Linked DNA regions of Lonchura striata. The protein of the gene in region 3 interacts with the protein of the main gene of each other region in a pairwise test. Links are inferred from orthologs where the notes say so. Each region holds a gene or a part of one and is shown on either strand. Other genes may lie near its edges.

Evidence for each region.
Region 1: the proteins of TAX1BP1 (region 3) and PLEKHN1 interact in binary tests that used the Homo sapiens proteins (3 or more experiments, as listed by UniProt). The two-hybrid records come from large-scale screens. The link is inferred for Lonchura striata from reciprocal best matches to the Homo sapiens genes TAX1BP1 and PLEKHN1.
Region 2: the proteins of TAX1BP1 (region 3) and CXXC1 interact in binary tests that used the Homo sapiens proteins (3 or more experiments, as listed by UniProt). The two-hybrid records come from large-scale screens. The link is inferred for Lonchura striata from reciprocal best matches to the Homo sapiens genes TAX1BP1 and CXXC1.
Region 4: the proteins of TAX1BP1 (region 3) and LGALS8 interact in binary tests that used the Homo sapiens proteins (3 or more experiments, as listed by UniProt). The link is inferred for Lonchura striata from reciprocal best matches to the Homo sapiens genes TAX1BP1 and LGALS8.

Annotation. Positions count from the first base shown.
Region 1 is NC_134626.1:860,699-868,480, forward strand, and holds the start of PLEKHN1 (pleckstrin homology domain-containing family N member 1), read right to left. Parts: upstream 3,015-7,782; coding exon 2,935-3,014; intron 1,282-2,934; coding exon 1,182-1,281; intron 1-1,181. UniProt on the Homo sapiens protein: Controls the stability of the leptin mRNA harboring an AU-rich element (ARE) in its 3' UTR, in cooperation with the RNA stabilizer ELAVL1.
Region 2 is NC_134638.1:856,192-863,182, forward strand, and holds the start of CXXC1 (CXXC-type zinc finger protein 1), read right to left. Parts: upstream 3,003-6,991; 5' UTR 2,950-3,002; coding exon 2,947-2,949; intron 2,855-2,946; coding exon 2,757-2,854; intron 2,143-2,756; coding exon 2,042-2,142; intron 1,491-2,041; coding exon 1,387-1,490; intron 761-1,386; coding exon 605-760; intron 1-604. UniProt on the Homo sapiens protein: Transcriptional activator that exhibits a unique DNA binding specificity for CpG unmethylated motifs with a preference for CpGG.
Region 3 is NC_134603.1:123,123,138-123,131,092, reverse strand, and holds the start of TAX1BP1 (tax1-binding protein 1), read left to right. Parts: upstream 1-4,948; 5' UTR 4,949-5,060; intron 5,061-7,833; 5' UTR 7,834-7,839; coding exon 7,840-7,955.
Region 4 is NC_134605.1:45,720,416-45,727,492, forward strand, and holds the start of LGALS8 (galectin-8), read left to right. Parts: upstream 1-4,071; 5' UTR 4,072-4,162; intron 4,163-4,322; exon of another isoform or gene 4,323-4,343; intron 4,344-5,961; 5' UTR 5,962-6,046; coding exon 6,047-6,160; intron 6,161-7,077.

The DNA.
Region 1 (7,782 bases), on a different chromosome or scaffold from region 3:
AGCAGCAGGAAGAGCAGGAGCTGCTCTTTCGTGGGAAAAACACCAAACCGGCGGCTCCTGGGGCGCATCCTGCCCCGCCTGGCACCGGGAATCGGGGCAGGGGCTGCTGGGGGTGCCACAGGTGCAGGGATGTCACCTGCCCCGGTCCCAGGTGGCGATGCCAGCTCCTCGGAGGTGCCCGGTGCCGGCAGCTCGGCTCTGAGCCGGCCCTGCAGCTGCTGCTGCGGCCAAAGCCAGCAGGGAGAGAGGGGCAAAGCCCAGGCTTCCTCCAGCCACACAGCAGCCCCTCTGCCCCAGGCCAGGGTAAAGGCTGAAAAGCTGCTCCACCCTCCTTCCTTCCATCCCTGGAGAGATCCTGCACTCCCTGCTCCCAGATGGGCCGGCTCCATTCCCATTCCCCAGCTCCATTCCCAGCCCCATTCCCATTCCCCATTCTCCCAGAATTCCTGGGAGAATTCCTTCCTCCACCAGGATTCCTTCCCCAGGACCCACTGACCCTGACAGCTCATCCTGCTTTCCCCAGGAGGAATCCAGGATCCGGCCGGGGCCTGCTTTTGGCTGCCTGATCCTTTTGGATCCAGCTGATTCCCACAGGGAGCCCTCCCTGCAATTCCCTCTGCCTAGCACCGAGGCCGTGCCTCAGTTTCCCCTTCCCCACGTGCGCACAGCTGGGATCGATGACCGCCCGGATGCTCCCAAAATTCCGCCCACAGCCCCGGCCCACCCAGCGGGACCCCCCAAACGCTCGGGGGCTGCTGGCTCCCCTCGGTTCCCCCAGCGGCGCTGGAGCGGGGCCGTGAGGCCGCAGGGCTGGGCCGTGCCCGGGGCAGCCCTGCCCTTCCTGATTCCCTTCCCAGGCTCCTGCTCCGTGGGAATGAATCATCCCACCTGCCAAAGCTTTTCCCTTCCCTCGCAGCCGACCCAGAAACAGAAGAACCCGGAGCAAAGGTGGTGTGGCGGGGATGTCCCCGTGTCCCCGTGTCCCTGCTGGGCTCCCAGCAGCACCCCTGCCTCAGCCAGGTGCCCTCCACACCTGCACGGGGACCGGCTGCTGGGAGGGCTCATCCCTCCTGGCTCTCCCTGGGACAGGGCTGCTGCTGCCCCAGAGCCAAACCCAGCTCGGGGCGGGTGGGAATAAACCCCCGGGCAGTGGGGAGCGGGTTGCAGGTGCTGGAACTTGCCTTGGCTGGAATATACTGCAGGATTTTGTCCGTGGTCGTGTCTCTCTCCTGGCCTCCGTCTATCCCAAAGAAGCTGGGCAGCTTTTTCTTGCCATTTTGGCTACAGAGGGAAGGGAAAAAAAAACCCAAAACACACATGGAAACAGAGATCCAGGCTGAGGCATGGTGAATCCTGCCCAGAAATAAGGAAGCCATGACACCAAGCAAGCAATTTGTCACAAGCTTTCGAGTCATCCCAACCCAGCCAGGGCTGACAAAGCCTTGGAGGACTGGAACAGGATTTTGCTGCATTTGTTGGGGTTTTTCTGCTTTTTTACAGCTCTTTGCTCAGCCAAATGATCATCTTCACTCATCTTGTGCCCCCAAATGAGCACAGGGCCTGGATGTTCCATGGCAGAGCACAAAAATCAAACCCAGCTCCTGGAGAGCCCCTGGAGTGGGGATGGATCCGCACAGATCTGTGGCAGATATTCACAGGGAGAGCTCATTTCTGCCATGGTGGCTTCCCTCTCCCTTCCCTCCACTCCCCCATTTCTCCCTGGGTGCACACCAGTCCCAGGCAGCCACTGGTGCTGCTGGGAAGAGCTGGGACTTCCTCAGATTGCAGCAGAAAACCAGGAGAATCCCCACGGGCGTGGGAAGCCAGGAGTCAGTGGGACAGGAGGAGCTCTGGGGCTTGGCTGCTCCACCACAGCATCCTGATGTGAGATCCCCAGAGCCCAAACACCCCGAGGGATCCCCTCTCTTTTACCCCAAACCCCTGAGGGATCCCCTCTCTTTTACCCCAAACACCCCGAGGGATCCCCTCTCTTTTACCCAAACTCCCGAGGGATCCCCTCTCTTTTACCCCAAACACCCAAGGGATCCCCTCTCTTTTACCCCAAACCCCGAGGGATCCCCTCTCTTTTACCCCAAACCCCAAGGGATCCCCTCTCTTTCCCCCAAACACCCCAAGGGATGTTTTACCCCTCTCTTTCACCCCACAGGAACTCCTACAGGTTTGCCCCTGATTTCTGGCAGCACAGGACACCAAGGGAGCAGTTCAGGCTCTCCTTTCAATGAAAAACCCCTTGTCCTGGCAGAATTTTGGGGGGATTTGGGGGGTTTTTGGGTGGTTTTGACCCCTGACACTGAACCCAATGCAGACAGGTTCATGATGAATCACCTCATTCCCTCAAAGCTCTTTTCCAGCTCTGGACGTGCTGATGGGAAAGCTGGGAAGCTGCACTGCATTCCCTGGCTGTCCTATTTTGGGACAGCCACCCACGGCCACGGTACCTGAGCTCTGCCCTGGCCAGCCCAGCACCCAAATCCCAAAAGATTGCACTGAGATTTTCTGCCGCTCCTCCTTTGGGTTTACAAACACAAATCCGATGGCGGGGCGCTGGGATTTTGGGGCTTTTCCCCTAAAGTCTGAGGAGTGGGAATGTTGTTTTCTCACAACAGTACCACAACTGTGAATAAGAACACTCACAAGTGAAAACAGGGAATAATATCAGGTGCTCTGCACCCTGGCCCGCCGGGGGAAGCCTTATTACCCAAACAAAAATTAACTCAGCGCCGCTTCTCCCGAGGGCTGGCGTTCCCTGCCGGCTGAGAATTCCATCCCCGGCGCTCGGGGCGAGCTGGTGCCGGGCTCCGGCAGTGCCCAGCACCCCCAAAACCTCCGGGAAATAGGAAATCCCCAGCGGCAGAGATCCCGCCGGAGATCCAGCCCCGCTCCCGCATGCCGGAGCCGGAGGGGGTTACTCACTCCTTCTTCAGCGAGGGTTTCCTTCGGAAGGAGCTCCTGAAGCCGCCGGGAGCCTGCGGGACGCAGGCGATGTTCCCCATGCCGGGCTGGCTGCGGGATCCGTGCGGGATCCGTGCGGGATCCGTGCGGGATCCGTGCGGGATCCGTGCGGGATCCGTGCGGGCTCGCTCCGGCCGCTCCTCTCCGCCCGCCGCGACTCGAGTGGGTGTGGGCAGAGCCCAAAGCCGATCCTGCCCCTCGCTCCCGCCCCGGGGCTGGGAGGGGCGGGCCAGGTACCTGTTCCTGGGAATCCACCCGAGCCACCGGCATTCCCGAGCCAGCGGCGGCGGGGAGCTGCGGCCGCCGGGAACCCGTCCCGGGGCGTTCTCCCAAAAGGAATTCTGCCCAGAGACCCATCCCGAAAGGAATTCTGCCCACAAACCCATCCAGGAGCATTCTCCCAAAAGGAATTCTGCCCACAAACCCATCCCAGGGCGTTCTCCCAAAAGGAATTCTGCCCAGAGACGTATCCCGCAGTGTTTTCCCAAAAGGAATTCTGCCCAGAAACCCATCCCACAGTATTCTCCCAAAAGGAATTCTGCCAATAAACCTATCCCAGAGCGTTTTCCCAAATGAAATTCTGCCCACAAACCCCTCCCGCAGCATTTTCCCAGAAACCCAACCTGGAACTCTTTCCCAAATGGAATTCTGTCCCCACAAACCCATCCCACAGCGTTTTCCCAAATGGAATTCAGCCACTGCACCGGGTGGAGATAAGGATGCAGTGAGATAAAGTCGGTGGTTGTTGTTTAAGCATTAACAAAAACCCCTGGGGTTGAAGGGTTCCAAAGGGTTCCCCCTTCCCAGTGCGGTTAAAGATATTAAAAAAAAAATGGGAAAAAAATATCAAACGGGACACTAATCAAAATCTAGAAATTATAGGAGACGGATCAAGGGAGCAAAGAGCAAAAGGAGATGTGCATGAGCAGCAAAAAAAGAATATTTGTAGCAGAAATGCTTTAAAAGGAAGCAAACAGAAGATTTCTGACCGTGCTGAGAGTGCATCACTGCATGGAAATATAAACAATAAAAATGAGAAGTTAATGACAAAAGGTAAATGCAGACTCAATATTTCTGTGCTGGATAAAAAAACCCCTCAGGAATTACACCCATAGGAAACGAGAAACCCTTTCCATTTTCAGGTGGCTGCTAAGAAGTAAACACAAAAAGAATGCTCTGGATCAAAAAATAGAGAAATTCACATCAGAAAGTTTGAAAGAGCTGAACACAAAGGGCTTGAGTCACTGTTGCAGTTCAGTCTAGCAGGACCACAGAATTTGCAAAGAAATTGCATAATTTAACAGGGATATCAATGTTTCCATGGGTAAAAAACCACCCCAGTAATTATGGGGTTGCCAGTTGACAGTAATTCCTGGGAAAATGATGTAACAGCTGTGAGGGAGTTGGATTAACTTTGAGAATTACAGGAGGAGAATATAATTAATACAAATTAACATGGGGCTGTGGAAATCAGATCTTGTCAAAACTAATTGAATTGATGGCATGTTTGAAAAAAAAAATCAGATTTAGTGAACATAAATAACAGTGATGTAAGAAACACCATAAAGGATGTGGTGTGACAAATCTGCGGGTTATTTTAGGAGGTTTTCCTGGAGAATCTGCAGGAATCTAGCTGTGATAGACACACAGGGTGTGTTGGACTGTTCCAGTTTGTGGTGGTTTCACCCTTGCACTAACAAAATATTCCCCAAAAAGGGATTGCACAGTCAGGCCACACTCGCCAGGAGGGAGCAGCTGAGAACAGGTGTGCCATAGAATTTCTCCCCATTTCTGACCTTTAAAAGCAGCTCCTTTATCCCCCTCCCCTTTGTGTCCAGAATCCATTAACCCTTCCTGGCCCAGCACAGCAGCAGGGCACCCCTCCGGAGGGCCCCCGCCACAAATTCCGTGATTTTCATGGCAGGAGCTGCTCTCTGCTCTCTGCACCGCTGGCAAACAGCACAGCAACAGCCCAGCACCTCCTGGCCGGGATCAGACACCGCAGCACACAGCCCCAGCTGTGTTTTGTGCAGAACAGTGTGATTCCCCCTCGGACCCGTGGCTAACACGGTCAGGCCGTGACCACAAACGTGCTGTTCCTCTGGTTTGTTCTAAATAAAACCTCCCGGCTCGGAGCAGGGACACAAGCGCTGCCGCAGCTCCTGCTGCTGTCACGGGTCCTGCCTGCTCCCTGGGACAGCAGTGACACCAGCAGGGCTGGCAGGGCCAGCTGGCACTGCTGCCCTCAGAGGCTGCCCTGGAGCAGAGGCTGGGCAGGGCTAAAGGGATAGAGCGGGGTTTAAAATAAATAAAGGAAGTTAAAGGCTAGACAGAGTTCAAGGAATAAAGTGGGGATTTATTTAAAGGCCTTCACAGGATACACCCTGGGCAGTACAGGAGCCTGGCCGTGGCTACAGCCAGGATGGACTCCAAGTCATGAGTTTCAGACTTTGATAAGTTTGGGTCCATTTCCATATCGGGGTTCATTGTCCAATTCCAGGTTGTGCAGTCCCATCCTCCCACTTTACTCTCCTGTTGTTGGCACTTTTTGGGGCTGAAGCTGCAGCAGTGTCCTTGGTGCTGGGGCTGGAAAAGGATTGTTCCGTGTGCCTGAGCTGTGAGGAGAACTTGCTGACACTTCATGTGAAGCTCAGCGAACCAATGCAGCAGAGAATGTGGAAAATCTGAAAAGTAAAACTTAAGGCATTCCACCGGTGGCTGAGGTCAGGCCCGCCACCAGCGTGAGGGCACAAAGCTCTCCCAGAGCCCACAGTTCTGCTTGCAGGAGAGCCTGAACTGTTGGGAAGCAGTCCCTGGACTCCAGGAATGCTTTTCGAGCGTTCAGTTATTTATAGGAGCCAAAGCAGGAGCAGGGGCAGCAGGAAAGGGCACACGGGGCTGGTGCCGGGCCAGGAATCCCGGCTGCCCTCAGGCCCCAGGGCTGGGCTGGTGCCGGGGCGCCGTGAAATGTGAAATGGGCTCAGTGTGAAATGGGCTGGGGTGAGATGGCCTCAGCATTGCCCCTCGTGAAATGGCCTCAGTGTGAAATGTGCCTCAGTGTGAAATGGGCTGGGGTGAGATGGCCTCAGCATTGCCCCTCGTGAAATGGCCTCAGTGTGAAATGTGCCTCAGTGTGAAATGGGCTGGGGTGAGATGGCCTCAGCATTGCCCCTCGTGAAATGGCCACGGTGTGAAATGTGCCTCAGTGTGAAGTGGGCTGGGGTGAGATGGCCTCAGCATTGCCCCTCGTGAAATGGCCTCAGTGTAAAATGGCCTCAGCATTGCCCCTCATGAAATGGCTTCAGTGTGAAATGGCCTCAGCATTGCCCCTCATGAAATGGCCACGGTGTGAAATGTGCCTCAGTGTGAAGTGGGCTGGGGTGAGATGGCCTCAGCATTGCCCCTCGTGAAATGGCCTCAGTGTGAAATGTGCCTCAGTGTGAAATGGGCTGGGGTGAGATGGCCTCAGAATTCCCCCTCGTGAAATGGCCTCAGTGTAAAATGGCCTCAGCATTGCCCCTCGTGAAATGGCCTCAGTGTGAAATGGCCTCAGCATTGCCCCTCGTGAAATGGCCTCAGTGTGAAATGGCCTCAGCATTGCCCCTCGTGAAATGGCCTCAGTGTGAAATGGGCTGGGGTGAGATGGCCTCAGAATTGCCCCTCATGAAATGGCCACGGTGTGAAATGGCCTCAGAATTCCCCCTCGTGAAATGGCCTCGGTGTGAGATGGCCTCAGAATTCCCCCTCGTGAAATGGCCTCGGTGTGAAATGGCCTCAGTGTGAAATGTGCCTCAGTGTGAAATGGCCTCAGAATTCCCCCTCGTGAAATGGCCTCAGGTTCCCCTGCCCCATGAAATGGCCTCAGTTCTCCCCTCTGTGAAATGGCCTCAGCATTCCTCTGCCCTGTGAAATGTCCTCAGTATTCCCCTCCATGAAATGTCCTCAGCATTCTCCTCCCCTGTGAAATGTCCTCAGTATTCCCCTCCATGAAATGGCCTCAGCGTTCCCCTGCCCCATGAAATGTCCTCAGCGTTCCCCTGCCCTGTGAAATGGCCTCAGCGTTCTCCTCCATGAAATGTCCTCAGTGTTCCCCTCCTGGGCCAGCAGTTCAGGAAGCACGGTGGGGCCTGTGTCCCCAGCCTTGGGGCCATCTCCATGTCCCCGGCCATGGGGCCATCTCTCTGTCCCCAGCCACAGGGACGGGCTGAGGTGGCAGCTGGAGGGGGTTCCTGGCCTGGTTCTTGTTCCTGCTGCAGGGCGAGCTGGCAGGGACTCCTAGGGACACCAAACTGGGCTGTGATGGTGGAAATCAGCTCTGGAGCCTCTGGGGCTGGGGCTTTTCCCCGAGGTCTCCAGCGTGTTCTCTCTGTGATAAAGGGAAGGGTGACACAGAGGGGACACTCCCAGCACAAAATCCCCACTGGGAATACAAAACCCCCACACCCACCCAGGCCCCCAACACCCTCAGCTGAGTCTGGGGTTGGGACTTGGCAGAAAGCTGCTCCTTTTAGCTCAGCTGTGCCACAGCAGGGCCTTCCAAACTGGTTTGGGCCCCTCTGGCCTCCTCTACCAACACCCCCCCAGCAGGGCCAGTCCCAGCTGGGCTCCAGATGGGAGTTCTGAGCAAACGCCTCAAAGCTGCACCCAGGCACATGAGATCTCATAGAATCACATCCCAAGTCACAGGGGATCCACTAGATCAGGGTCCAACCCCTGGCCCTGCTCAGACACCCCAACAACCCCACCCTGTCCCAGGAGATGTCCAAAAGCTCCTGGAGCTCTGGGACCCCTTCCCTGGGGAGCCTGGGC
Region 2 (6,991 bases), on a different chromosome or scaffold from region 3:
CACAGAGACAGAGAACAAGAACACACAGGGACACGGGACACTTGGGTACACAAGACATGTTGGGGACACATCGGGGACACGCTGATAAGAGTGACACAGACATGGAACGTGAGGACAGCGAGACAAGGTGACACAGGGACATAACAGATGTTGGGAACATGTCAGGGACACTGTGGACAGTGACACACAGACATGGGGACACTTGGGGACACCTCAGGGTGACACAGGGACAGGCAGCAGTTTTTGGGGACATAGAGCACGTGAGCAGTGGGGGACACGGGGACATGCCACGAGCGTGACACATCAGGGATGTGGCATGAGGTGACAAAGAGACACAAGGACACAGCAAGACAGTGACAAAGGGACACGGGACAGGGTGACAAAGGGACACGAGGTGGTGACAGAGGCCACACGACAGGGACACTGTGACAAAGAGCCACACTGGGGACACAGCGGGGACACACCAAGGTCACCCCAACACCCCCAGCCCTGGCAGGCACTGAGGCCACGCCACACAGGGGACAAACCCCACTGCCAACACACACCAAGGACACGCTGGGGACACACTGGGGACACGTTGGGGACACGCTGGGTGCCCGCTCACCCGCGCCCGCAGCTGGCACTGCCGCAGGCGGCACTTCTGGCGGATCTTGTTGGGGCCCCCGAATTTCTTCATGTCCCGGCAGAAGTCGCACTGCCCGCAGTCCTCGGGGCGCCGGCACGCCTCGCACTCCCCGCACATGCGGGCCGAGCGCTTGATCTGGGGTCGGGCACCCAAAAACGGGGTCAGGCACCCCGAAAATGGGGTCAGGAACTCCAAAAATGGGGTCAGGCACCCCGAAAATGGATTCAGGCACCCCAAAAGCCACCAGGAACACCCCAAATCCCACCAGGGTCACCTCCGCCTTGCACTCCCCACACACACGGGCTGAGCGCTTGATCTGGGGTCAGGCAAACAAAAATGGGGTCAGACACCCCAAAAATGGGGTCAGGCACCTCATAAATTGAGTTAGACACACCAAAATCCATCAGGAACAGTCCAAATTCCATTAGGGACATCCTAAATCCCACCAGGGACACCCCCACCTCGCAATCTCCAAATGCAGGCTGAGTGCTTGATCTGGGGTCAAACACCCCAAAAATAGGGTCAGGAGACTAAAAAATTGAGTCAGGCACCCCAAAAGTCCACCCGGGACACCCCAAAACCCAATCCAGAAGGGATCTCAGGCACCCAGAGAAGGTCAGGGGTCTCCCAAATCTCCCTCAAAGCACCCCCCAGCTTCCTGCTGTCCCCCAAATCCTCATCCCAATGGACTCAGGCACCTCCCAGCCTCCCCCCAGCATTGGGGTGTCCCCCTTAGTGGGGTCCCCACCCCCTGAGCCCACCTTGGCAGCCCGGCCCTGCTCCATCTCCTGCCCTTTGGCCCCCTCATGCTCCTTCTCCCGCCACTTCTTGTGCCGGTACCGGATCTCCAGGGACGGATCCTTCTCTGGGAGGGGGGTCACAGAGGGGTCAGGGGGTCCACCACCGGGGACACCCCAAAAACGGGGTCAGGCACCCCAAAAACAAGGTCAGGCATCCCGAATCCCACCAGCAACCCCTCAAACCCCACCAGGACACCCCCGCCTCGCATAAGGGCCGAGCACTTGATCTGGGATCAGGCACCCCAAAAACCACCCAGACCCCAAGTGTCCCTGGAACCCCCCCAAATCAGAACCCCCCACCCCTCTAACTTCAGCCCAACACTCCCCAATGACCCCCCAGAACCCCCCCAAAGCCCCCCAGAGCCCCCAGCCCCTCTCACTGCAGCACTGCCACTCCCCAATGACCCCCCAGAACCCCCCCAAAGCCCCCCAGAGCCCCCAGCCCCTCTCACTGCAGCACTGCCACTCCCCAATGACCCCCCAGAACCCCCCCAAAGCCCCCCAGAGCCCCCCAGAGCCCCCAGCCCCTCTCACTGCAGCACTGCCACTCCCCAGTGACCCCCCAGAACCCCCCCAAAGCCCCCCAGAGCCCCCCAGAGCCCCCAGCCCCTCTCACCGCGGCACTGCCCGCAGTACCACTCGCGGATGGCCTTGGCCATGCGCTCGGTGATGTTGATGCAGTCCCCATGGAACCACTCGTTGCAGTTGTCGCAGCCGCTGCGGGACAGGGGAGACACCGAGACCCTCAGCCAGGGACCCCCGAAGCCCCCCAGGGGGACTCTGCACCCCTCCCTGCTTCAAGGCACCCCCTCAACAGCCCCAGGGGCCAAGACAAGCTGGGACCCCCCCAACTCCCACCCTGAAAAGCACCCAGGACCCCCAGCTGGCCCCTCAGATCTGCTGCGACCCCTCAGACCCCCCCTCACATCATGAAGCACTTGGGGACCCCCAGACCCCCTCACATCCTGAATCACTTGAGGACCCCCATTTCCCCTCACACCACGAAGCAGTTCAGGACCCCATTTCCCCTCACACCACGAAGCAGTTCAGGAGCCCCCCAATTCCCCCTCATACCACGAAGCAGTTCAGGACCCCCATTCCCCCTCACCCCATGAAGCAGTTCAGGACCCCCCCAATTCCCCCTCACACCACGAAGCAGTTCAGGACCCCCCCCATTTCCCCTCACACCACGAAGCAGTTCAGGACCCCCGTTCCCCTCACACCACGAAGCAGTTCAGGACCCCCCCAATTCCCCCTCACACCACGAAGCACTTCAGGACCCCTATTTCCCCTCACACCACAAAGCAGTTCAGGACCCCATTTCCCCTCACATCATGAAGCAGTTGATGTCCGGCTTGCGGCACACGCAATAAACCGGCGCGTTCTCCTCCCCTCCCGGGGCCGCCTCCGCGTCCGAGAATTCGCTGTCCTGAGGGGGTACCGGCGGGGGTGTCAGGCCCGGGGGTGCCCCGGACACCGCAGACCCCCCGAGCTCCCCCACACCCCCGGTCCCCCCCTCACCATCGCTGCCGCCGCCTCCGAGGGACGCTCCGGGCTAGGCCCAGCAGCGGCCGGAAGCGGGGGCGGAACCAACTTCCGCTTCCGGTACGGGAGAACGACGTACAGCATGGCGGCGGCCAGGGGAGCGATGGCGGCCATGAGGGCCGCCGTGTTTGGGGGGATTGCCACCCGCGGTCGCAAAAAAGACGCCGGAGAGAGCAGTGGTGGCAGGGCGTTTATTGGGGACGTGGGGGACAGCGGGACGTGGGGTACATTGGGGATTTTAGGGGACATGGGGGACATCAGGGACCTGAGGGGACGTTGGGGGCACATGGGGAAAATGGGGACATAAGGGGACACTGGGGACATGGGGGACATTGGGGAGAAACTGGGGACATGAGGGACATCGGGGACATGAGGGCACATGCGGGACATTTTGGGGCACATGAGGACCTGGGGGCACATGGGGGACACTGGAGAGAAACTGGGGACATGGGGGAAAATGGGGACATGAGGGACAATTGGGAAATGTGGGGAGGATGGGGGGAACTTGAGGGACAATGGGGGACATGGGGGAGCTTTGGGGACCAGAGGGGGACAATGGGGGACATGAGAACACGGCAGGCACAGGTGGCGCGCAGGTAACACGCAGAGGTGTGGCACAGGTGTCCCGTGGGGTGTGTCCATCTTGTCCCCATCACTCTGGCTGAGCCTCCAGGGGGCGCTGCAGCTGCTGCAGCTCCTCGGCCAACCTGGGGGCGGGGCCAGAGGTGGGTGGGGCCAGGTGACAGGGCCACACCTGTCCCACACACCTGTCCCAGGGGTCCCACACTTGTCACACACCTGTCCCAGAGGTCACACACTTGTCCCAGGTGTCCCACACCTGTCACACACCTGTCCCAGGTGTCACACACCTGTCCCAGAGGTCATACACCTGTACCAGGTGTCACACACCTGTCACACACCTGTCCCACACCTGTCACAGGTGTCACACACCTGTCCCACACCTGTCACAGGTGTCACACACCTGTCCCAGGGGTCCCACACCTGTCCCAGGTGTTCCACACCTGTCCCAGAGGTCACACAGCTGTCCCAGGTGTCCCACATCTGTCCCACACCTGTCCCAGAGGTCACACACCTGTCCCAGGGGTCCCACACCTGTCCCACACCTGTCCCAGGGGTCCCACACCTGTCCCACACCTGTCCCAGAGGTCCCACACCTGTACCAGGTGTCCCACACCTGTCCCACACCTGTCCCAGAGGTCACACACCTGTCCCAGGGGTCCCACACCTGTCCCAGGTGTCCCACACCTGTCCCACACCTGTCCCAGAGGTCACACACCTGTCACGGCGCTGCCGGCTCAGCTGCTGCCGGCCCAGCTCCACCTCCAGCTGTCGCTCCGCCCCCTCCTGGTCCTGCTGCACCAATCGCCTGCGAGAATGGGGGTTAGGGGGCGGGGCCAGGCCTGAGTGGGCGGGGCCACCTTGGCGGGGCGGGGCCAGAGCTGGGCACTCACCTGAGCACAGGTGCCTGTGGGCCCAGCTGCTCCTCCGTGTCCATCACACGGCGCTCTGCGCAAGGGGGGGACACCGGTCAGCCCAAGGGGGCACACCTGGGTTTGGGGGGGCTCAGGTGTCCAGGGGGTCACTCAGGGGCTTGTGGGAGAGGGGCTCAGGTGGCCCAGGGCCGGTCAGGAGATCACTCAGGTGTTGGCAGGGGTCACTGGGGTGTCTGAAGGGGGTCCTGGGGGTCATTCAGGTGTCAGGGGCTCACCCCAGCTCAGCCACTTCTCCTCCATCTTCTCCAGCTGCACCAGTTCAGCCTCCAGGTGGGCCGGAGCCTGTGGGGGGACAGTGGTGGGAGGGGGACACGGAGCAGGGGACAGGGTGTGTGATCCCAGGGTGTGCCAGGACACCCAGGTGTGCCAGGACCCCCAGGTGTGTGAGGGACCCCAGCCCCGGGCTTACGTGTGTGACACGCAGGTGCTTGAGCTCCTCCATGATGGACTCGAGCTGCTGGCAGTGCTGCCACCTGAGGGTGAGGGGACACAGGGGTGACACGGTGGCCACATGACCTGTGTGGGTCACCTGGTGCCACCCCCAGCCCACTTGTGTCCCCCAGCCCCACCTGTATCCCTCAGGCTGTGTCCCCCAGCCCTACCTGTGTCCGCCAGCCCCACCTGTGTCCCTCAGGCTGTGTCCCCCAGCCCCACCTGTGTCCCCAGCCCCACCTGTGTCCCCCAGCCCCACCTGTGTCCCTCAGCCCCACCTGTGTCCCCGGCGCAGGTCTTTCAGCTGCTTCCAGTGCTGCTTTGTCCCTTCCATGTCCTGCTGCTGCTCCAGGCAGAGCCCGCAGTGCCTGTGGGGGGTCAGGGGCCACCAGGTGTGTTTTGGGGGGGGGGCACAGGTGAGGTTGAGGAGGGTCACAGGTGTTCCCACTCACCTCTGGCCTTTGGCCTCCACCTCCTTCCCTTGCAGCTGCGCTCTCTGCAGTGACTCTGGGGGGTCACAGGGGGTCACAGGGGGTCACAGGGGTTGAGGTCAGAGGGGTCAGGGGGTCACAGGGGCCAAGGGGGTCCCTCTGTGTGGGGGAGTCAGGAGGGGCCACAAGGGTCAGGGAATCATGGGGGTCAAGGGGGCTAGAGGTCCAGGGGGCATCAGGGGAGGTTTTGGGGGGGCCCCAAAGACCCCAAGGCCCCTGGGCTCACCCTGCACCTGCTGCCAGGACCTCTCCAGTGCCTCCTTGCGCTGGTCCACTGTGGGGAGGGGGCAATGAGCTCAGAGCCCTCTGTCCCCGCAAACCCCTCAGGATCCCTACACACCACCCAAGGACCCTACAGACCCCTCTCTGTGTGTCCCCAGACCCCTCAGCGTCCGCCTCCAGACCCTCTCTCAGTGTCCCCCACCAAAACTCCTCTCTATATCCCCCTCCAGACCCCTCAGAGATCCCCCAAACATCTCAGTGTCCCCCTCCAGACCCCTAAGGGATCCCCCAAACCTCTCAGTGTCCCCCTCCGGACCCCTAAGGGATCCCCCAAACATCTTAGTGTCCCCCTCCAGACCCCTAAGGGATCCCCCAAACCTCTCAGTGTCCCCCTCCAGACCCCTAAGGGATCCCCCAAACATCTCAGTGTCCCCCTCCAGACCCCTAAGGGATCCCCCAGACCCCTCAGTGTCCCCCCAGGTGACTCACGCTGCTCCAGGTGCTGCCGCAACCCCTCACTGCAGTCTTGTGCCTTCACCAGCTCCTGTGCCGTGGTCTCACGGACTGTGGGACATGGTGGGACAGAGAGAGGGACGCATGGGACACAGGGGGACGTGGCAGGCACATGAGGGAGCACAGGAGGGCATGTGGGACATGGGAATATGGGGGAGCACAGGGCTCCTCACACTCACCTTTCTGCAGGCTGTGCATCTGCCTCAGCAGCACCTCCAGCTGTGGGATCCCCCCAGGGGGACCTGAGGGGGGAACTGGGCAGGACGCAGGGACATTGCCCCTCCTGGGGACACCCGAGACCGCCTGGCCCCTGGGGCGGGGGGACACTGGGACACAGGGCGGTCTTGGGGGGTCCTGGCTGTAGAGCCTCTCACTGCGTGGGTTCAGGTCCATCACTGAGCCTGCAGGAACATGTGGGGACACAGGGTACATGGAGGGGACGGAGGGTACACGGAGGGGACACAGGGTACATGGAGGGGACACAGAGTACATGGAGGGGACACAAGGGTACACAGCGGAGACACAGGGGTACATGGAGGGGACACAGAGGTACATGGAGGGGACACAGGGGTACACAGCGGAGACACAGGGGTACATGGAGGGGACACAGGGGTACACGGTAGGGACACAGCAGATGATGATGGTGGGCACTGGTTTGTCCCCTCCTGTCATCTTTGTCGTCTTCTTAGTTCCCCTTTTCCAACCCTCAGCCCCACATTTTCTGTCACACTTCACCATTTCCTCCCTCCTTATCTCTTTTCTCCAGGGTTTCTCCCATTCCTGTCACCTCTTTCCTCCAGTTCCTGCCGCCTCTGTCCCTTTCATTTCTGTCCCTCATTTCCCTCTTGC
Region 3 (7,955 bases):
AATCTATTAAAGCATACCAAACAAAGGTATTTACCTGTTCTATATCTGCTAAGATTTCAGTGACACCTACTCAGTGGTCATTTACATGCCGTGCTGTGTATGCCAGTAAGAGGTATGCTGGAGGGAAAAAAACCCCTTGCAAACATCATAAATAAGAAATGAAACACTCCCCCAGACCTGGGTCTCCAGTGCACATATATTAATTACACACCAGAGGGTAAAGCCTCAGTATGTGCAAGCATTTAATTCATTATTTGCATTTATTAAAAACATTCCTTTTCACTTTAACAATAAAGTAACCCAACAGTGAAGTAACAGCAATTCAAATGCAGTCATTTACAGACGTGCGGTTTCTTGTGCCCATTGTACAGTGCAGTGCTGCCAAGTCTCACACCTTAGAAGTAAGCTCCTGCTCTCTCCTCTGTCACACACATACATGCACACACATACAAAATTTACATGTCTGCTCTCACCTATACTCTTTTGGGAAAACCCACAAATTTCATCAATCTCACTCTACAGATTTAAAAATCCTGGCAGCTTTTGAATAGCTTTTCTTCATCAGCTGCAATTAAGTGTTGGAAAAGAAATCCAAAATACACAGAAAGAAACTTTCTCCTTAATAGGAAATGTTAGCAATAGTATGGGATTTCTAATATGTTCCAAAGTTTAGCCACACCATCATACTGGAAGGCCAAGACTGCATGCCCTGTGATTAGGTTCCCTTAAATGCCAGGCAATTCAGTTTTGTCAGCCATAACATGAAACATTATTTATAACTATTCAACTGTTTTAAGAGTATAGTTAATAGTTTTCTGTAACATGATCTTAAAGAAGTTGATTAAGTGTGCTTTACAGCATGACCAGAAAGAGCTTCCGATTAGTGACATCAGTATATATATTTTACATCTCACATGACCCACACTTTTAAAACTTGGAAGTGTTGAAATAGGAGTCAAACCAAAATGAAATCAAATCATCAGAACTGAAGCATTTCCTTACCACACTTCATCAATATCATCATGTCATGCCAATAGACTGAATATCCACAACATCAAGTACCTCTCCCTGGTAATAAAACCTAGAAATATATAATTTTTCTGTCACTCACACAAAACAAAGATGGGCCTCAGAGGGGAGGAATTCAGGGATGGTTCAAAAACTCATCATGGGTTTGGTTCAGACTACAGTAATACATAAAGTAAACAAATGAAAGAAAAAAAATGTTAGGCTCTGGATTGAATAAAAGTTCACATCTATCCAAGGTTAAACAGATGTGACAGGGATCCATTTTTAATTTCAAGGCTCTAAATTACTGGGGCTCAGAGGTTGAAGAAGATAGTGTAGTTATAAAAACAATGTTTTGCAAGCACCCCAAACTCTGTTCCCTAGGAGTCTGTAATTGCTCCGTTTCCTTTGGCAATTCTGGTTAACTGCATGTTTTTATTCCTCATTCATCTCATGCCTGAGGAGGGACTAGTCTCATCCTAGCAATGTCTCAGTATAATTACAAAGCAGGGAAATTTTTGCATCCCAAACCAAATTTCAAACTTATTTGGAATCTAGTGATGTTCAAATCCAGTTACTGAATTCTGAATTCACACACGCTTTTAACTTTATTTAATATTTCTATCACAACCACAATTTTTATTTGCCAGCTTTTTATTTCCACGTCAATACCCTGGTGAAATGTATTTGACATATATTGCTTGGAGATTGTGCATATAAACACAAAAAGAGAGAGAGCAGGGATTTTTTTCAGCCTGTAGAAGAGGTGGGCCTATTGCTATCGACAACCAGCTAAGCAAAGGGTGTAGAAAAGATGGAACAGAATTTTCTCCAGAGGTCCACAGTGAAAAAACAAGACAAGAGACAAAACTGGAACATGGGAAATTGATACAAAGAAACATTTTTACAATTAGTGTTTTCAATCACTGAAAGAGGTTCTTTAGATGACATGGAATGTCTCCATCCGTGGAGACATTTGAAATGGGACTAGGTACAGCCCTGATCAACATGCTCCTTCAAGCTGCTCTGGACATCCCTTCCAACAAACATGGTTTTAATTATAAAAATATATATATATAGTATAATTAAAAAATACTTGACATTCCCAGTTTGTTTTTCTTTTAAATATGCATAAATACTGCCTAAACATTGATATTATGTGTTTAAAGTACATCCTGCACATGAAAACTGCACATAAAAACTGTACCATTTGTGGTAAAGTACTGGCTTGAACAAAACCAGTTTCCTGTTACTGAAATCAGGGATTGGAAAGCTGAAAACCAAGCCAGAAGGAGATGAGATTATTGTCACCATCCCTGTAATAAGCTTTTCTAATTAGTGTGTTAGTGTTAAAAGAATCTCAAAAGAGTAAGATTCTGTTAGAAATGCTGATATCAAACTTTTTTTTGGTTTTAAATATTTTGCAGAAATGTAAGTAAGGATAGAAAAGTAGTATTGGAGGGGTTTTTTGTTTTGTTTGGGTTGTTTGTTTTGTTTCTTTCTTTGTTTGTTTTCTTTCTGCTCAAGAGCAGGTTTCCTGAAAGATTTATATCACATGGATTAATTTCAGGACATAGTATCTGTCTAGCAAATCAGACTTATCAAGGTGGTCAATCATTAATTCTCAGCCAAGTGCAAGTATCACTGGTTCCAGTCACATTTTTCTTTATTCAGATCTATGTACAAGGACATTTATTATTGATTCTGGGATCTCTGTGCACCACTTGTCCATTTTGGTCAAGTATTTAATTTCTTGACATGGCAATAAAATTAGAAGAGGCTCTCCAGCATTTTTCTGTAAATATCTATAAATTCTAGAGGGGTAGGATTGGCATCTAAATCTAGCATGTAAAAGCATACATGAGAACACATTAAACCACACATTTATTTTAGTCAGAAATGGTTTTATATTTTATATATAACCACCATTATGTGGTTAAGAAGACAAGTTTAGAAGTTTAAAAATACTGAATTATGAGGTTAATATGGCAAGTTTAGAAATTTAAATTTTCCTGAAAATTATGGATATAGGTACAAGAAAAGGCAAGATAATTCTCAATTTATTTGTCCTATTGTTATATATACACTTTTCATGTTAATGTCAGCATTTCAGTAGGTTTTTTTACCTTTTCCATATGCATTAAGCAATAGAAATAATAACTGAATACCGAATTATGAGTAAACCATAACTGCCTTTATTGACTGAATGAACATTTATTAAGTGAACATGGAAATATCTCAAGTTTCTTAAAAAACTCAGAACTGAGAAGTATTTTTTAAAAAAATTAGGAAACAGAAGTGGGTTGTTTGTTTTTCCAGGCATTCATGTATAAAGATTTTGTTAGCTGCAAAAGAAAATATTTATTTCAAATTTCTCATCATATTCCCACAAACCTGCATTACAATGGCTTTAAATGAAAGCAAAACTACTTTGTCTTTACCAACGCTGACATTCCCCAGCTGGTGACTGTAAACCCTGAGTTCTTCCTAAGTTCCAGCCCACACGAGAACAGAGAACAGTGAGTGTCTTGTGACTATTAGACAGCTCTTTATCACATCATACAGAGCAAAGTGCAGCAAGGAGAAGAAATGGATGGCTGAGATAAGAAGGAACAGCCCTTTCTACCTCCTTACAAATATTTATTGCTGAACAAAATACTGGTCTCATTTTCCACTATAAAAGTTCATCTGGTCTTACATGACAGATTGCTCTACATACACTTCTCGTGTCTTCTAAAATGATCAGTTAGTACTATGCAGGGAATTTATTGGTTTCCAGGGAAACATGGAATGTATGGATGATATAAGAGATTATTCATTGTGGCTACAAATCAAAAGATAATCTAGTAATCTGTGACACACCTTAAGACACAAGACTGTTTTCAGAAACAAAAATGCAAGTACAATGAATTACCATAATTACTTAAATACACTTTCTATGCTCCAGCTTAGTTTCATTTCTGTTAGGATTGAACATGAAAAAACAGGTGAACTTGAAACAGAAACCTAACTCAATAATTCAAATTATTAATCATATTATTTGTAATAACACTATGTCTCTCCACATAAACTGTTTGTTTTAAATACACATGAAAACACGTAAGAAATGGTAGCAGCAAAGAATTTAAGATGATCTTGAAGACAGTTTGTAGTGGCAACGAACACTGGGTGCACTGGTCAACACCGTGACTCTGGTCAGTGCTCTACGAGCTGCTTTTTAATGAAAATGGAGAGGACCCTGTGAAATAGTTGCGAGCATAGTCAGAAAAGCCTTAATGCCCAAACCGTTTAAATCCAGATTGTTTTAAAACTATCAGATGTGGTAAAAGGTATTAATCCTGTATAAACTTGTGGCAACTAGTGGTTATGGTGGTGGAGTCACAATCTCCTAGCGGTGTTCAAGAAACAACGCGCCATTTAGCGCCACGGTCTAGCTAACAAAGTGATAATTGGTCAAAGGTTGAACGCAATGAGCTGAAAGGTACTTTCCAACCTTAACGAATTAGGTTGGAATTCTGTGCTTCCCTGGTTCTCCGAGTCAGCGTTGTGTGTGATGTAACGCCCTACCATGGCGATCCGCCAAGGTACCCAGGCAGAACCCTTTACAGCCACTCCTATCTCACCCCTCCGTTGCCCCGGGAAGACCTGCAAGGCTGGCAGATTAACGGTGATCTACAGGGTGGCGGCACGCCCGTGTCCTGACGTGGGACGGAAGAGGAGACGATTAATTCGGGTAAGTGGGTGCGACAGAGGTGATGTTGTAACCACGGACAAGGCGGGCGGGCACCGTGGGAGCGCTGTACGGAGGTGAGGGCAGCCCGGTCGGGCACACGCCGCGCACAGCACTGTGCCCGCAGCCCCGAGCCGCGCCCCCGGCCCGTGGGAAGCGGAGACCACCGGGCGGCTCCCCGGTGCCCAACCGGATCCGTGTCGGGCCCGCCCCGTGCGGGCAGGGCCGGGCTGGAAGTGACGCGGGCGGACGGGCGGAGCTGCGCGGCGCTGGTGGCCGAGGCCCCATGTTGATGTCCCCGGTGCCCTCCGCGTCTGCCTAGGTAAGAGCTGTCCGTGGCCGGCTGCGGGTCCGGGCAGGGCTGACACGCTCTTTCCCGCCGGCCTCCGGCCGCTTCTGGGCCGGGCCGTGCGGCCGGGCCGTGCGGCCGCGGCTCTGCGCCACCGGCCCCCGCTAGCTGTTCGGGCCGGCCGTGTCGGTAGGGGAGCGGCGGGGCCGGGCTGCGGGAGCCGGCGGGGCTCCCCGGCCCGCGGGGGAAGAAGGAGGCCCGGAGCCAAGGTGACCGCGTCGGGCAGGTGGCGGAGCAGCGGCGGGGAAGGGGCGGGTGGGGACCGGGGGTGTCGGGGGCCCGGGACCGCAGCTGGAGGACTCCGGGAGGAGCTGTCTGTGCTGGCGCGGCTCGTCCTGCTTTTGTTTTTCCTGCTCGACGAGCTTTTCCTCCCTTTCACCGTCCTTTCCGCTGCGCAAAGCCAAACGCGTCGTTTAGCCTTCCCGTGGGAAGCGCTTGTCACGTCGGTAATGAAGCCTGTGCGTAGCTCTTCCTCCTCCTCTCCCGTTGCCTAGCCGGTAGCTGTGAGTTAAGCAAGCAAGTACCCAGCATCCCCATAACTATCCTTGAACTGTAAGTAGATCTGACCATCACCTAAGCCCCGGGGATTTTCCTGCTAGGCAACAGTAATCCCAGATGATTGTGCTGGTCTGCACAAGTTAGATTTGTGAGCAGTTCTGCTTTAGGGTTGGAAACCAGTCTTGCCTTTACTGGTTCCTCTAGGGCTACTGCTCAGCTGCCACAGCTGAGCAGCTGACAATGTGCAGAAACAGATAATTTTTTTTCCTTCTGGTTGGGGTTGGGTGTTTTTTGTTTTTATTTTTTTTTAATTTTTTTTTTTTTTAAATTTAGTTTTTTTAATATGTGCTTAGGCTGAGCTATACAATTTTAAAGACAGATTTACTGAAAAATCAATTGGTTTTATTATTAATACTGTTTACTCTTTTTTGTACTTATTCTACCTAATGAAAATGTCAGTGTTATTTTGGTAAGTTACCGAATTACTAAAAATGAATGAATTTGTTGCAATTGAAAATAACTAAGGTTTTTCTTTTAGAGCCATAGATAGTGCTGATGCATACCATTTGTAGTTCAGACTGAAATTGAAAATGTTATTCTCTGTTTTGAGATGTGTGGGAGTTTTCAGGATTTTACTGTGCTGTAATATTTCCTATTCTGGACTATGAAGCTACATAACTGATAGGATTTATTGTGTACCCTGTTGTCTCTAGAAAACTGTATTTTGATCTTTACTCAGTTTCCTGCTTGTGGAAGTTCCTTGTTTTTCTTCTACATCTATTCATCTTCACAAGCTTTGTGTTTTATCTTGTACCCCGTGTTGGTCAGTATACAAGACTGTTTTTTTATTTAACATCTGATACATTGAAATAATGTGGCTGCCCGCCCCTATGTACCTCATGTGTTACTCTAAATTGTGCAATAATAAGCTTAAAATTTTGATGGCTTAAAACTAAAAAAAACCTTTTGTATTTACCTTTTCGTTGTTTTGGGTGATGGATACGTGTTTACTTCAGAGTGCAGTTTGTTTCAGAAAGCACAAGGTCTTTGCTACTTATTTTTTAACTGGTGAAATTTTAAAAGGCTATAGGAGGTATGCAAACACCTTTTCATATTTGAACTACTTGAGGCTTGCAGTAGCCTGTCTCCTTTTGGTTTTGGTTTCTATATGTATCTTCAATGAAAGTAGCATATTATGTCACACGCTTGGCAGTAACCTCTTTCAAGCTGTGAATGTGCTTGGTTGGTATAAAATTACTTTCAACAGCAATTGCAAGAACAGGGTAGCTCATCTTTCCAGAAATGTCAGCTACATAAGGCCCTAATCCTCCTAATATCAAATGTTTTGACAAACTGTTGATTATATAATGGAGTCAGACATTTGAAACTTTTCAGTTGCATATTATTCTATTTTTGGTAGATATTGCCGAATCTGAGGAAGGGATGTTCTTCTTCTGCTTGTGAAGCATCTTGTGTTACTGTAGTTGTAGCACTATGTATCCTGAATGAGGTGGTAAATGGAAAGAACAAAAGCTTTTGCAGTCCAACTGATTAGTGTTACTCCCTTCAACTTCGCGCATACCTCAATGTTCCTGCTATCAATGCAGGCCATTGTTTATGGTAATGAAGCTAAACACGAAGTATGTGTTACAGTGAGAATAGTAAAAGATGTCCATAGACTGCTAAACGGGGGCAGGCGAGAGAAAAGCCAGCCCAAACAAACCCTCCTATTTACATAAACTTTCTTATTTTTTAAAAAAAAGTCTTGAAATGGAACTCTGATGCTTTTACTGAGAGGGGAGGAAAAACTTAATGTGTAAAAATGCTGTGAAAAGCACTGAGCAGTACAGATTTGAGAAAAGTTTGAAGTGGTGAAACTACAGAATCTCCTTCTATAGCACGTCTAGACCATTAAGAATCTTTCATTAAATTAGAACCCTGCTTTGTTTTCACACCACTGCTTTTATTTTCCCCTTTCTGACACTGAGATATACTAGGGACATTCAACTAAGCAATGCTTTCTCTTCATCTTGATGTCACTGCTGAAATGACTGCTCTTTTTATTCTGCGAGGTGGTTGTTTTGGAGAGATGCTGAGGCAGTGAATTTAGTCTATGGCTCTCTGTTTTCAGAGCAGGGCAACTAATTATTAGGCTTTTCTGTCGTACATATTTCTACTAGATTAATTTTTGTAACTTCACTTGTTTTTCCACTATGTTCAGGTAACAACTTCTACAATTTTGTTACAGATAACCATGTCATCCTTTCAAGAAGTTCCGTCTTCAGCTAGCACTTTGCAGACCTCCAATTTTGCACACGTGATTTTTCAAAATGTCGCGAAAAGTTACCTTCCAAACACACATCTTGAGTG
Region 4 (7,077 bases), on a different chromosome or scaffold from region 3:
AAAGAACCAGGATAATAAAGGGCTGTGCAAATCCTTACAGTAGTAAAAATATCTTGAATCTAAGCTGAGAATTTATTTTTGTCTTTGCAGCCAATATACATGAGCTTCCCCTACTTCATTCACAATCCTGTGAACAGTGGGTGTTTTTTTGGTCCTTATTTGCTTATGCCTCTTTCTCAGAAGCTGAGAAGTTCACTATCTCAAAGGTCTGCTAAAAGCCTGATCCTCTCTAACCATCAGGAAACACCTACCATCTCGTGGTGAGAGGTGATACTACAGCCCTCGCATGTCTCCCTTGAAAATGCAGCAGAGCTGAGGGCAGGTGAGCTCATCTGTAACTGCAGAGACTCACCAGGGATATCCAGGAGCAACTGCAAGGAAAATGATGAAGGCGTGAAGGTAGAGTTCTAGGGATCTTGGGTTTGGATAACAGTCCCCAAGTTTGGAGAACATCATACAGTGTTTCCTGGCTTTTATCTCCTAGGTAGGCAGGGATTGAATCACTATGTGCAGATCGTGGCATAACTGCCTGGGGGTGGGGGTATGCTGGGGTGTGCAGACAGGGCAAGCACAGGCACAGGTTCACTCTCCTGTCTACTGCAACACAAATGAAGGAGTGATCCTGACTACTTCAAGAAACCTAGAGTGTCATGTCACTGATTTAAGAAAGGAGGGGTGAGTATGTTTTAAGAGTTATATGGCCTAGAATTGGTTTTCAGAAGGTCTAATGACTTCTTGGTACCTTTTTTGTCCTTTGGCCTGCATATCTATTCTGTACCTTGTTTGCTCTTATGCTTCTCTTAAACATTTTGCTTTAAAAAGTAGGCATTGCAACAAAAAATAGAATACTTGTTAGTTCCTGAAGCAGCTGTATAATTTTAAGCTTTTGGATCTGTAAGCTCATTTTAAAAACCATGACTTTTTGTTTCCTGTGATTTGCAACTTTAAACTGAAAACTGGAAGATCTGAATGATCACTGAAGCTAAATAGTGACGTATCAAGGAAAAGTTATGGAAGGCCACTGATAAACTCGTGGCTAAGTAAAAGCTGAGCCAACTGGGCTGTCAGCTGAAATTTTAATGTTGGTGTACCAAGAGGACTCATGTCCTCCTTGAGTCTAAAGCTTTTCAAAGAAACTAGGGGAATAATTTCCATGAGAAATGCTGTAATGCACAAACAGCTCCACTAAAACTACAGAAGACACAACAATGTCAGTCTTTTGAAATCATAGGACATCCTTAAGCATAAAATGTCTGCTGAACAGTCCAATGTGCTAGAGGCTTTACACCTGTGGCCTGTAGTACTGTGTAATCTAGGGGAAAATAGCTATTCAGGTACAACAGCACTATAGAAAAATTAGCCAAGAGTAACTTCCATGGGAAAATGTCTTAATGGAGACTAGTGCTTATTTGTTTCAAGTCTAGGGAATTCCATTATTGATGGAAATTGTATAATTGGAACTGTGCATAAAATACCAGGCCAAATAAGTATGACTATGTATGTTTTCACCTTGACTTTCAGCCATGGCTTGCTACCCTGAGAGAGACAGGTTACAGGCTTGGCATCAAAGACAGGAGAGGCAGGTAAAATTTCTTAGGGGTAACAGGGTCCTCTATGAAATACTACATTATGGCCAAGAATAGCTGCTATATTTACTTCAGCTGAAATTGGCTGTATCTGTCTTGACAAAGCATTTCTGTTTTTCCAGCAAGCAAAATTCTGCTGGAACATGGGAAGTCTGCTGATAGGATTGTACATAGTCCCAGCAATGGCTGAGTGCACATCAAATTTAGAAGAAAAAGCCTGAATTAGGACTGGGACTGTGGAAATAAGGGAAGACTTTGTTATTTGCTGTCAGGACTGCCATTAGTAAATGGTGCTAAAAATAGCAGTCACAAGAAATCAGCAGGATCAGAAGACAGTCTATGAACAAAACAACAGCACTTTAGCACAAAGATGCTGAAGCTGTAAGCCAACTGACTCATTGTCAATGCTACATTAGGTTTGGGTGCTGAAATAGGGGCTTCCCTGCAAATTTCATAAACTGCCTATGACTCAGCCTAAAATCACATAATCAAACAGCTGTTCTGCTTCAGTAAGGAACTGGTGCATAATACAAATCACTGTATTTCCTCTGGATTGTTTCTTCCCAAAAGTAGAAGAGCCCTGAGCAAGAAGTAGTAAAGCAGTAAAACTTTATTTTCTGTGGTTCTAGAAACACTTCTGCTTATTGCTATTCCTTTCAGCATCATATTTTTTTATTCCAACCTTTCAGCATATTTTCTGTCTTTCCTGTTTGACCTGAACTTTCAAACCTGCTTTGAGGTTGCAGTCTCATACTGACAATTGAGTGTATTTCATGTATTTATGTAAGTCTGGTTTTATTAAAGTGCTCTACTCTTTCAACTAGAGTGCCTGGAAAAATAGATTCAAAGAAAAACTAAGTGGTAGTTTATTTGTTCTCTTTTTAAGTAGCGCTGTAGAATTATGTAGAACAGTTGAATAGCAGGCTTTTTTCTGGCAGCTAACTATACACTGTAGTTGTCAGTCCTCTCTCACAACCACTCATGATTCTAAGGTACCTTTCCCCAGGCAATCTGCTTTGCTGCTTTTTTATCCAAGCACCTCATTTCTACCGTTCTCCTCAAAAGAAGTGTTATCATACCTTTCTGTGAACAAATCCTTCCAGTTTTATATAGGTAAGCTGAGGTACCCATAAAAGCAGCAATCCTACAACTATCAGAAGAATTCTAGCAAGTAGATAGATGATTTGAGATGGGGCTTCTGTGTCGGTTAATTGTGGAATAAAAGACTGGATATTATCTAGCTAAGATACTCTAGTGGTCTTTGTGACAAGTGGCTGAATGCCATTCTAAATTCTCTATAACCATATACACTGCTTTTTGCAAGGCAAAGAAATACTGAATGCCTTTATTCGAACAGGAGATGGTGATTTAAGCTTATGAGCCTTTTATATTGCACTCTTTATTTTTGTGCTCATTTTTTCCCCATCCAGTGTATTAACAGAGGTTGTAGTGCTTCTCTGAGCAGACTGTTTGTTGTTACACATAATGAGCTATAAAACTGCAAGGGGCTTTGTTGGCCTTCCTGCTTACCTTACCAATCCTACCAAAATCACTCTTAGTGGGGCTTGCAAGGGGACAGGAAGATAGACCACAGCCTTGAGGCAGACGGAAGCTGGCTTGGGACAGAAATGACCACAGTCATTGTGGGTCACTGGAGAGCCTGGAGAGTTGAGCACAGAGAAACCTAATGAGGTTCAACAAGGGCCCGTGCAGGGTCCTGCACCTGTGGAGGAATAATCCCAAGTACCAGCACAGGCTGAGGGCAGATCTACTGGAGAGCAGCTTGGCGGAGAAGGACCTGGGAGTGTTGGTGGGTGAAAGCTGACCATGAGCCGGCAGCGCCCTTGCAGCAAGAGGGCCAAAGGTGTCCTGGGGTGCATTGGAAGAGTGTGGCCAGCAGGCTGAGGAAGGTCACCCTGCCCCTCTGCTCCACCCTACAGACGCCACATCTGGAGTGCTGTGTCCAGTTCTGGGCCCTGCAATACAAGACAGACAAGGAGCTCCTGGAGAGGGTCCAGTGGAGGCCACAAAGATGATTTGGTGTCTGGAGTATCTCTTAGGAGGTGAGGCTGTGAGAGCTGGGCCTGCTTAGTCTAGAGAAGGCTGAGAGGGGATCTCATTAATGCATAGAAATATCCCAAAGGTGAGTTCAAGAGGATGGTGCTAAACTCTTGATGCCCAGTGAGAGGGTAAGGCGCAATGGCCATAAACTAAACCCCAGGAATGTCAGGGAGAACTTATGCAGAGGGTGGCAGAGCACTGGGCACAGGCCTTCCGCGGAAGCACACTACACGCAGGAAGGCGCAGCCGCAGGGGACGGAGCGCAGCGCACCTCACGCGGTGTCAGCCCGCCCGCCACAGCGCCCCCTCAGCCCGGCCCCGCGGGGGGCGGCGCCTGCGCGCGCCGGGCCGGCAGGCCGCGCGGGGCACGCGCCCCAGCCCCCGCGCGGGCGGCGCCGCGGTGACGTCACCGCGGTGAGGGCGGGGCCGGGCGCGGCGGCGATGGCGGCGGCGGGGCCGGGCGGGCGCGTCCCGCGGGGGAGCGGGCGCTGCTGAGCGCCGCGGGGAGTCCTGCGGTAAGACACCGTGCGTGTCGGGCAGAGGGACTGCCTCGGTTCGCCGTAAAGCTGAAGTGGCCGAGGTTGCTTCGTCCTGTGTCCTTCCAGTGTTCGGGAGTCTCGGGTTTATAGCGGAGGACGGGGGACACCGCCAGTGTTTTGTACTTTAAGTGGTTGAAGATGTCCAGAAAGCGTCTCGGTAATTCTCTGTGCAGAATCCTTGTTCGCACTGGTGCCAGATCTCGCTTTAATTGTAAGGACTGGCCGGAGTTACCCTCATGAAAGTAACTCATGAGCGACACATTTTCTCTGTATCACAGTGGGAAGCCTAATAACCGCTTATTATTATTTTTGGTCTCTGTGGCTTCCTGTTTGTCTGTGGGAGATATTTCCAGCCCCTGGGAATGTGTGAGATAGCAGGGCACCAGGGAACCTTAACTTGCCGTGTTGCAGGTTTGGTGTAACACGTACCCTGGTGGTGGTGGCAGGAGGATACAGGAGAGCTTTGCAGTTGCACGTCCTTTGGACAAACAGAGCCTGAATTGCAGCTTTCCTTCATTATTGCGACCTTGCCAGTAAAACAGTAATAGGCAGATAAGAAAACTCCTAACTCATCACTTTGTCATAGTGCCACCTGCTCTTGGCTCTGCCAAGATCCTGAGCCAGGATCCTCTCCTAGCAGGATCTAGATTCCTGCTGCAGGCACAGGAAGTTCAGATAGCAGGATACAGCTGAGCTGTAAGTTTCGTTTTTGTGGGGTCTGCTGTTGGACTGTACAACCGTAAAGGCAAAATTATTGTTTGATTTGGTCTTTATTTTCTCCTTTTAAAAATGAAATCGATAAAACATGCCTGCACAGGCAAAAGTGAATTTATGGTAATATCCCTTGAGAAGATCAAAGGGCAAAATAGTTGTGCAGTGTTGAGACCTTATGTTCTCTGAGTTGTATTCTAGATACTGGTCTTAAGTGGGTGAGTTAATACCCATCTGGTCCAAATCTTCAACAAGACTAAGTCAGATGTTGCAAAATGGACCACTCTATTAATCATTGCAGAAGATTAACCCCTGTGGAACAGGCCACAGACCTTGGAGTTTTGATTTTGTGTTGTTTTGGAGTTTTTTCTGTTTTGGTTTTATTTTTTTTTTTCTTCTCCGTTAACATAGCTTTCTGTTCTCACACAATAATGTGGCTAGAGCCTTCACCTTTGACTTTTTCCCTGTCTGCTTGTTATCACCACATAGTTTATATGCTACCTTATTTCTCCAGTGTATGCCAGAAATAATACTTGGTAGTTTCAATTTGGCCCTGAATTTTGGACACTTTGTTAAAGGATTTGCTAAAGAAGTTGCAATGTAGCTGAGTATACTCACAAACTTTATTTCTTATTAATGTTGTGCATTTTGTTATAGTTTTATAAATTTCTGTTATTACTTGTGGAGTTCTGAGATTGTATGTGTTAGAGGAAGAAATGTAAAACACCCTCTGTTTCTCTTCTTTGCCTAATATTTCTTAGCTTTATGTAAGATAAAGGTGGAAAAGGCAAGGTCACTTGCTAAGGCTTGTCTGCCATGGTAAATCTGGGGATAGCACACTCCTGTTGACATTGTTTATCAGTGGGGCATCTCAGTGCTTTAAGAAAGCCTTTTAATTTCATATTTCAAAACTCTAGCAGAGGTACTGGAAAGATGTTTGCATACTTTCTTCTGCTATTTGTAGCTGTACCTTGGAGGGTTTTAATTCATGTTGTGTTGTTTTGTTTCTCTTTAATTAAAATTTTTGGGGTTTTTTTTGGTTTTTTTGTTTTTTTTCCCCGAAGGGGTCACTCCTTTGGTGTTGCCTGATCAGTGAGTTCTCCAGCAGTGGCCACACAGAACTGACAGACCTGAGCTGGAGGTGGGAAGATGACATCCTTAGGTGCACCACAGGAGGAAATGTGTAAACTGACCTTGGATACACCACAGAAAGAAATGCTTGAATTGCCCTTGGATACATCACAGAAGACAATCAGTAACCCGGTAACTCCTCTGTCATGTCGACAGTGTCTCCCTTGGGAGATGGGACTTTGCTGTTTTATATCAACAGTACTGTTTTGCACAGTGAGGGATGCTACTGAGAGCTCTGCATCACTCAGGTGTTTGAGGGAGAATGTCACAGGTGACATGAAGAGCTGATGGTGTTTAGAAATTGTGCTGTAAACAAATGGACAGGACTTCCAAAAGAGGACAGACGTTCTGTCAGCCTTGGAGGATAATCCTGTTTCATGTACAGCTTACACAGATGTCTGGCATTTTTGCAGAATATGCTGGAAAGTGAAAGTATGATTTGTTTTCACTCCTGATTCTCTGTAAATACGGGTGGGGTTTGGCAGCTCTCATGAAATGTTTATTTTGTTGTGCCTGTAACTTCAGTCTGAACAACTAAACTTGGAATCTTTTTTCATAGTTCATATCTTAATTCATAATAAATCCTGTTTTCTACGGAAAACTTGAACTGACATGATTCAGCAATTGCAGAGACCAGATTTGACAGGATTTTGTTTGCCTGGCTCAGAGTCTGGAAACTTTCTCTGAAAAGTTCTAGCATTCTCATGGTCTGTGATAGCAGCCTGACTTGGGCTTACCATAAAGGGGTGATCTGAAGCTGTGTTTTCTGTTGTGCCTTAAAAAAGGTCATTCATTTGAACCTGCAGGAAATAGTATTTTTACCATTCTGTGCTAGATCCCTTTAAAAATACCAAAATCAGTAAAGTATATATGTGGAACGTGCAGTGGCACAGACCTGCACAGGACTTCCTTATCTATTGCAGCTTTGCACTGTCACACTCTTGGGTCCTCAGTGAATCTGACTGTTTATTCCCAGTGTATGGTCACTGCTGCAAAGTGAATAGAGTTAGGCATGAGGTTTCAACCTCCTTCAGAAGAATCCAGCTGGG